Linked DNA regions of Nothobranchius furzeri. The protein of the gene in region 2 purifies or fractionates together with the protein of the main gene of each other region. This does not show direct contact. Links are inferred from orthologs where the notes say so. Each region holds a gene or a part of one and is shown on either strand. Other genes may lie near its edges.

Region 1 (3,654 bases), on a different chromosome or scaffold from region 2:
AGAAAACACCATGCTGCAAAGAGCAGCTCTGTACGCTGACAGCACACTCTCATCTACAAACACCAGAGATGGGTACAAGTTATGTGCATCTTTATACAGACCACTAGCCATGGACGTAATCTGGGGGGGGGGGGGGGGGGGGGGGGAGATGGGCCCCCCCCCCCCCCCCACTTTTTCCAAAGTCAAGTTTTGACCCCTGCACTTTTTACCATCCAAAAATATTATATATATATATATTATATTAAATTGACACTGGTTGAGCTCTAGGACCAAGCGGAAAACAACCGTTTGTGTTGAAGCCTGTTTCCCATTAGAGCATACTGTAGATACACTCCCCCGTGTCCCCCCACCTCTAAAGTGAAAATTACATCCATGCCACTGGTGTGAGATGGCTGAGCCTGATCATGCGATTTAAGTCCCATCAATCCCTGGAAGATGTCCATGTTTCTGAACTGATTTAAATATAAGAACAGATTTTGTTCATTTTAACACTAAAAGGTTTTTAACACGCTAAACCATTGCTTTCAAACTGGTTGCAGTGGTACTTTAGCCACAAACTTCAGCCACATCACATCAGACAGCCTTCTGCTGACCAGAACCAGCAGAACCCGTTTAATGGGTCAGGCTGGAACACTAGTGGGAGGTCTCTATCTGCCGTTATGGCAATAACAGTTTACTGTTGGCATCATGGAGGACCCTGAAAGTAAAAGTAAGAGAGCAAAAATGTCTTTGGAGCTGAAGCAAAGAGCTAAAACCAGAGTGAACTTTGGTGCAGCCTACGCTAGTCTGAGGGAGCTAAAGGAGGCTACGACATCACGGACTGATGGTGACCTGGCTTTGTTGCTAATGGACTTGTAAATCATAATATTTTTTGTCCAACAGGGTGGATCTTTTACTTTGTGGCTCACTTAGTGTTAGCTCGTTGTTGCAGCAGGGTTGACTAGTGCATCCAAAACTGATCCTCCTTTATGGGAGCGAGCAGTAACTCTTCAGTTACTTGATCAACATTATTGCTCAGATCTTTCTCCACAATTACAGCTCTATTGGAGATGCACTCTTTTTGGGTCTGTACAAATACATCGATTTGACAATAAAAAGGTGGGAGGGGTGGAAATATGCCTGAATAATAATCACACTGCAATCCTCTGACCTATAATCAAAGTGAATCACGAGGTGCTGAAAGAGTAAATCTAGTGATTACTTTGTGAAAATTCAAGAGTCTTATCAGTGTTTGTTATTTGAATGAAATAAACTCGGTTTCAACTTTAAATCAGAGGAATGATGAACTCACCGGTATCTGAAGACGTGTTTGTTTTCACTGACTTGATGAATCGTTGCACCACTTCCAACAACGTACGTCTATGAGAACACTGTTAAGAGAAGCTTATGACTCAGTAACCATGACAACAGCAAAGCTCTACACATGACTACGGATTCTCGGTCTGACCTGTGTTCTGCTGTTGTACTGCTCGATGAGAGAGGGCATGACAGCAGCTGTTATGATGTGGCTCGCCCTGTTGGAGGCGCTGCAGGCAGCCTGTAGCAGCTTGGCACTGGGCCATACCAGCTTCAGGTCGGGCTCGCACAGATGATGTTTACAGTCTGGGAAAATGTCACAAAGATGTTTGCACTGCTGTTAATTAGACGGTTTTAATGAAACCCTGCCTGTAAAAGGAGCCTTCGTTTTAAAGAACTGGTTCACCTGTTAGAACCAGATCCAGGAGGGTGATGAGGGTGTCTTCAGAATCAGAGTTCACCACTGAGCGAGACAGACAGGAAGTGAGTGCGGTGAGAGCGGTGAGGGCTGCTGACTCGATCTTCTCACTGGATGTCTGAAACACCTGCAGGCAGGAAACGGAGACGGGGCTGTACTGAGAGCACACACACCAGTGAAGAGGCTGGGTTTCACAGTAACGTCTCTATTTAGCCCCATTCCCACCTGTACCGGGTCGGCCCGGGCCGGGTAGCCCCAGTCGGCCCCAGCCTGGCCCGGTTGATTCCACACATCCTTGCCTTAAGCCCATGTGGGCTGATTCTACCCACCAATCAGAGGCTTGCTCTAATGGAAGGTGTGAATTTGCTGTCAGCAGTGGGCGTGTTGGCCCTGGTCGGCCTGAAGCAGTACCCCTCGGGAAGAGGGCCGAGAATGAGCCTTGGTTGGCCCGGGAAAATTCCAGGCCACCCAGATATGTAAACAACCTATGCTACCCGGCCCGGGCCGACCCGGTACAGGTGGGAATGGGGCTTTTGTTTCTGTTTATGAAATTTTATAATTTTATGTTTTCTGATGTCAATCTATTTCTGTTTTGAGATCATTATGATTTTATGACTTTGTTTTATGTGAAGCACACTTTGTGTTTCTATGTCTGTGATGAGTGCTATATATAAAAAAAATGTACTTACTTACTATTTATGGCACAGTCTGGTTTAGGGCTGGGCAATTTGGCCTAAAATCAACATCACCATATATCGTCACGTGCATTATGTTGAGTCACATTTTTACATGACTCAAGGTGGTACAGCATCTTAAAGGGACATTGCCAACCTACACACACCTTTTTCATTTTTTATTATCATTATTATTGTGGAAAAAACGATCATGATAAAAGTCGAAATTTTGATAATGATAAATATTGAATTTATTGCCCAGCCCCCGTCTGGTTGGATGGCAGCGTGAAAAATCATCTAAAACTCAATTTTGTGTTTACTCAGGTTGTCTTTGACACTGAAATGTGTTTGCTGATCTGAAACTTTTATGTGGGACAAAAAGGGAAAAAAAATAAATATGTGAGAGGTTAAATTATAGTTTTTGCAGCATTGAATGGGTGGAAAAAAAGGGTTGTTCACCGGGCCTTTCCACCAGACGTGTAAGCGTCACGCAACGTCAGCGAAGTGTAGTACGAAGCAATTAGCCGCTGTTATAGTGGATGGGTGTTTCCACCGGCCGCAAAGCGTCCCAGAAATGCTGTGAATACTTCAATTTTTTTTATACACTACGCTTCCAGAACATGTCAAGCTCAGCAGTTCAGATCGGGTCAGACAGGAAGTTGAACAAAAGCAGGGTAAAACATCCAGAAACTTTCAAAATAAAAGTCACTTGCAGATTTTCAGTTGATCAACTAGTAAAAGTACGTCATTACCTGTAACACCTCCAAAGCTGAGGCAAACAGGAAATAAACCACAGACCTTTTCGGATACATGCTGCCATCTATCTGAAATCTAATGTGTGGTTTTGCAATTTCCGGTCCTTCAGTGACTTTGCGGACCATTTGTGTGGAGCTCTTTTGCTGCTGTTTGCACCTGAAACACTCCCAGTAGGAAAGGTGCTCATGGCTAAAATGGTTATGCATCCATTGGAAAGCCAGGGTTAAACTAAAACGGCTCAAACTTTGTAAAACACTACAGACCTCTCTGCGCAGTGACGTCCACAGTCCCTGGAGGAATTCAGCCAAGTCTCTGTGATCATATTTTGACCCGCAAGCAGCCTGAAACAGATCAAATATAAAGAGATGACAAATCATCATAAAAGTCACATTTCATCTTACTTTAGCTTATTCTTCTCTAAGCTGCGGCTGTAGTCAGTCTCACAAGAGTCTGCAGTGAATCCAGCTTTGCACTCTGAATGTCCGAGTCCATCTTCTCAATGATGAGTGG
Region 2 (3,654 bases):
GGTGGTCGCTACCACCAGCTGGAAAAAAAATGTTTTTATTTAAAGTTAAAAAAAAACATTTTGAATCAAGCTGAAACTTCAATAAAACTCCTCACCTCTTTGTTATAAAGCTGCTCCAGGTCTGAGAGCGTTTTAACGTCCCTCTTCTTCCTCACACTTTCCTCCGTGTATGGCAGGATCTCAGGATGAACCTGAAAAAACAGAAGTCAGACCAAACGTAGCTTTTAGATGACAAAACAGGGATTTATAGGCTACATCAGATGGAGGCGGACCTTCTGTCCCTGCCCCAGACGCAGGAAGCCGACCCGGAAACGTTTGAGCTTCAGCAGGATGTTGTCGACAGCGGAGTGGGTGTAGCTGGTCAGCAGCACGTTGAAGCCACACGCGTGCAGGATCCGAACCTGGGAGCAAACCGTGTCAGTGTGCTGGTTTATTCTACAGAAACGTCATTTTTGCTCTGCTCCAGCTTCACCAGGGTGCAGATCGTTGTGGTTTTACCGGTGCCAGGCATTCCAACGATCAGTGTATAATCTTTGGATAATAAAACCTTCTTCATGGCCTGTTTCTGTGGTTTGTTCAGACCTGTGTGAACGTAATTCAGCTTATTTAGCTCCAATGAAAACAGAGCAAACCGAAAAAAAGACAAAAAAAGCTTCTTGACCTTTGAGGATGTTGGCTACGGCGTCTTTAGCCTCTCTGGGCAGAACAGAGCTGAGGTTGGTGATGAACTCTGGAGAACGAAGGTCAACAACCAGCTCCCTCAGCCGCTCGCTGCACAAAGCCATTAAAAGAACAAACATTAAACCATTTTAAAACAAAAGGACCATCTTATAAGTTTCCATGAACCAGTTGAATCTTCATAATTCCCAGTTCCTGCCTGTTCTGGCTGTTTTCCATCAGTCTGGAGAGATTACTGAGATGCGTGCTGAGGCCCACCACTCCCTCAACACCATCCAGTCGAAAAAACATCCTGCTGAACTTTGTCAGGTCTCTGTTAAAGTTAAAAACCACAAAAATGCAGATATATTATTACATTTTTTCTAATCTCTAATAACAGAAACATTTGAATCTGCTGTTACCGGTCCAGAGTGCAGCTGACTGATGTTCTGCTGACCTCACAGAGGTACCCGGTCGCCAAGCCGATAAAGCGTCCTTCCTGATCGCTAACGACAATGCGATCTCCGCCGGTCAGACCGCATCTGGTCACGCCCTGCTGGGAGGCTACGCTGCTGCGCTGGAAACGATGCAGGAAGACACCGTCGGACTGGAGCCCCACCGGGCCGCTGAGCTGCAGATTCCCCACACAGCTGCCCGTCTTCTCACTAAAACAAAAATATTTTACTGCGCTCGATTTTATTTAAGTTTTAAAACCAGCTTTATCCGGCACCTCTCCTCAACCGACTGCAGCCACACACGCTTTCGGCCATTCTTAGCCTCCATGGTGGACGCCTCCAGGCAGCAGAGCAGCAGCCAATGAGAGAAGTAGCTCAGATGAGGCAGAGTCAGGTGACCTGTCTCCTGCTGAAGAAAAGTACGCACAACCTCCTCGCTGGCATCTGCAGAGCTCGTATCCACTGCTCTGAAACGCGGATGAAGGCACATGATCCAACACAAATACAACCGACAGGAGAGAGCAGAAAAAGTAAATTTCCTGTTTACCTTTCATATAAAGCACAGCTCAGCCTTTGAGGGCAGTACTTGCAGGTCTGTCTGTCCGTCAGGATGTCAGGAAGTCTGGAAAGGCGGCTTTGATCAGCCGCCTTCTCCACACAGCTGCTGATGTGACGAACCAAAGTGTTCCTCAGCTTCAGCAGCTCTGGGAAAACAAAGTTTTATCGTATTAAGGTTGCAGCAGCCGATATGTGAGACAGCTTCCAAGGGAATCAGACAGATCTGGGCTCCCGGTACCTCGGTGGTCCATGTGACCGGCTGCGACCGGGTGCATGTTTCCAGTCTTGAGGTAAAGAAGAAGGCCGACGACAGGATTGTATCTTTCCTTGCTCATCAGAGTATACAGAATTACCTGTAAATAGATGCACAAAAACCACATTAACCAGACTTTAAATAACAATAAATTACCGACGAGAGTCCACCAACCTGACTGCGGTGCTCTATGGAGTTTGACTCTTTTCCCGTTTTTAGCTCCAGAGGGATGGTTTTCTCCTCAGGAATTCTGCGGCTGCTGTTTGGCGCTCGTTGGATCTGAACTTTAGCTGTCACGTCTATTTTCCCTTTGAGGCCAAATCTGGGGGACCAGACGTTCTCCTCTATGTCTGCCAGCTCACTCACTGTGAAGACAGAAGCCGAGTCCTGGCCCTGGCTGCTGGGAGACAATCAGCTCGTTAGGAGGTCAAAGGTCAGGACATTTCAAACTGATTCTATTCCCACTCAGCGCTGATGAAAGACTTGTACCAACGTTTTAAGGCTGATGGCTTTAGGGTTGGTAGGGCAGAGGTGTTCGTTGGCCCAGTGTTCCAGTGAGGGTAAGTACTCATGCAGCTCCTGCTTAATTTCCTCCTGACTCACACCTAAAGAGTACCTGCAAACACAAATACGGCTAAATGTGCAAAAATCACCAGCAAAGAAGCAAAAGTTCACAATCCTAGTGATAAGTTAGTTATTCACCATTATTAATGTCATTTACAACAAAATGTTTATAGACTTGAGCCAAAATTGCCAAGTTTAAACAGTTTATGAAGCACAAAAAATGAGATTTAAAACAAAAAAAGAGAAAATATTGTGATTTCTTGTTTGAAAATAGATTTTTATTTTTTATTTGCAACAAAAAATAAATTAATAAACAAAGAGTTATGAGTAAATAGTTTCTATGGACCCGAGGCAGGGCCATAAAGTTTGGATTGTGGGAAAAAATGTTTGAAATTGAAAAAGTTAAAACTGAAGCTGAATGCCAGCTTTTAAACTGAAAATGTGAAAAACCCAAAAACATAAAAAATGTACGTGAAAAAAAAGTGTTTTCTTTCAGCTCGAAAATTTTATTTCAGTTCAGTTATAAAAAATGTTCAAATCTTTATTTGTTCATTCTCTGATTTTTTTTTCCACTCTCAGAACTTTATATTTGATTTATTTATTTATTTATTACAGTTTTTACAAAGTGGAATGAACAGCCATAATTAAAGCGTAGAAAATTACTATGACACTGAAATAGCCGCTACACAGGGGCGCACTCGGAAACATTTTTAAGGGTGGCCAAACAAAGAAGGTTTTGGGGTGGCACACCAAAATGGTCCTTTTGGTAACCTTTGGAGAGTTTAGACTTTGGCGTATCCAAAACACAGCTATTTTCCAGCCACCCCTTGGGGAAGAATTGGGTTTGGACCGAGTGGCTGTACCGGTAGTTTTACTCTTTTGTGCACCACTTTGTTCAGACAACTCAAAATTTGTCATTCGGATTAGACTTTTAATTTTTTCAAAAGTTAAAAAAAGGTTCTTTTTCTCCAGTCAGCCAAACATTCCGGTCCTTTCTCAGCTCCACACTTTCTACCATGAAATTAGAGCTGCTGTCTGGAATTTTCCCCTTTCAGGAATTCTATATGACTTTCCAGAAATCTATAAAAGTGATCGTCTTATGTGCTGTGATGTAATGTAGGATATACTCCTTTTGTTTTTGCTAAGCCCGCCCCTATCCCATTTAGC

What was found.
Region 1: the proteins of dna2 (region 2) and mms19 purify together in Homo sapiens (affinity purification with mass spectrometry; 3 studies listed by BioGRID and IntAct, counting the BioPlex papers as one, with this or other methods). This does not show direct contact. The link is inferred for Nothobranchius furzeri from reciprocal best matches to the Homo sapiens genes DNA2 and MMS19.

Annotation. Positions count from the first base shown.
Region 1 is NC_091756.1:28,167,437-28,171,090, forward strand, and holds part of mms19 (MMS19 nucleotide excision repair protein homolog), read right to left. Parts: coding exon 3,589-3,654; intron 3,486-3,588; coding exon 3,408-3,485; intron 1,842-3,407; coding exon 1,703-1,841; intron 1,603-1,702; coding exon 1,448-1,602; intron 1,371-1,447; coding exon 1,292-1,370; intron 54-1,291; coding exon 1-53. UniProt on the Homo sapiens protein: Key component of the cytosolic iron-sulfur protein assembly (CIA) complex, a multiprotein complex that mediates the incorporation of iron-sulfur cluster into apoproteins specifically involved in DNA metabolism and genomic integrity.
Region 2 is NC_091749.1:53,953,940-53,957,593, reverse strand, and holds part of dna2 (DNA replication ATP-dependent helicase/nuclease DNA2), read right to left. Parts: intron 2,540-3,654; coding exon 2,417-2,539; intron 2,324-2,416; coding exon 2,098-2,323; intron 2,024-2,097; coding exon 1,909-2,023; intron 1,817-1,908; coding exon 1,660-1,816; intron 1,580-1,659; coding exon 1,388-1,579; intron 1,323-1,387; coding exon 1,080-1,322; intron 992-1,079; coding exon 878-991; intron 772-877; coding exon 662-771; intron 583-661; coding exon 473-582; intron 402-472; coding exon 273-401; intron 192-272; coding exon 96-191; intron 19-95; coding exon 1-18. UniProt on the Homo sapiens protein: Key enzyme involved in DNA replication and DNA repair in nucleus and mitochondrion.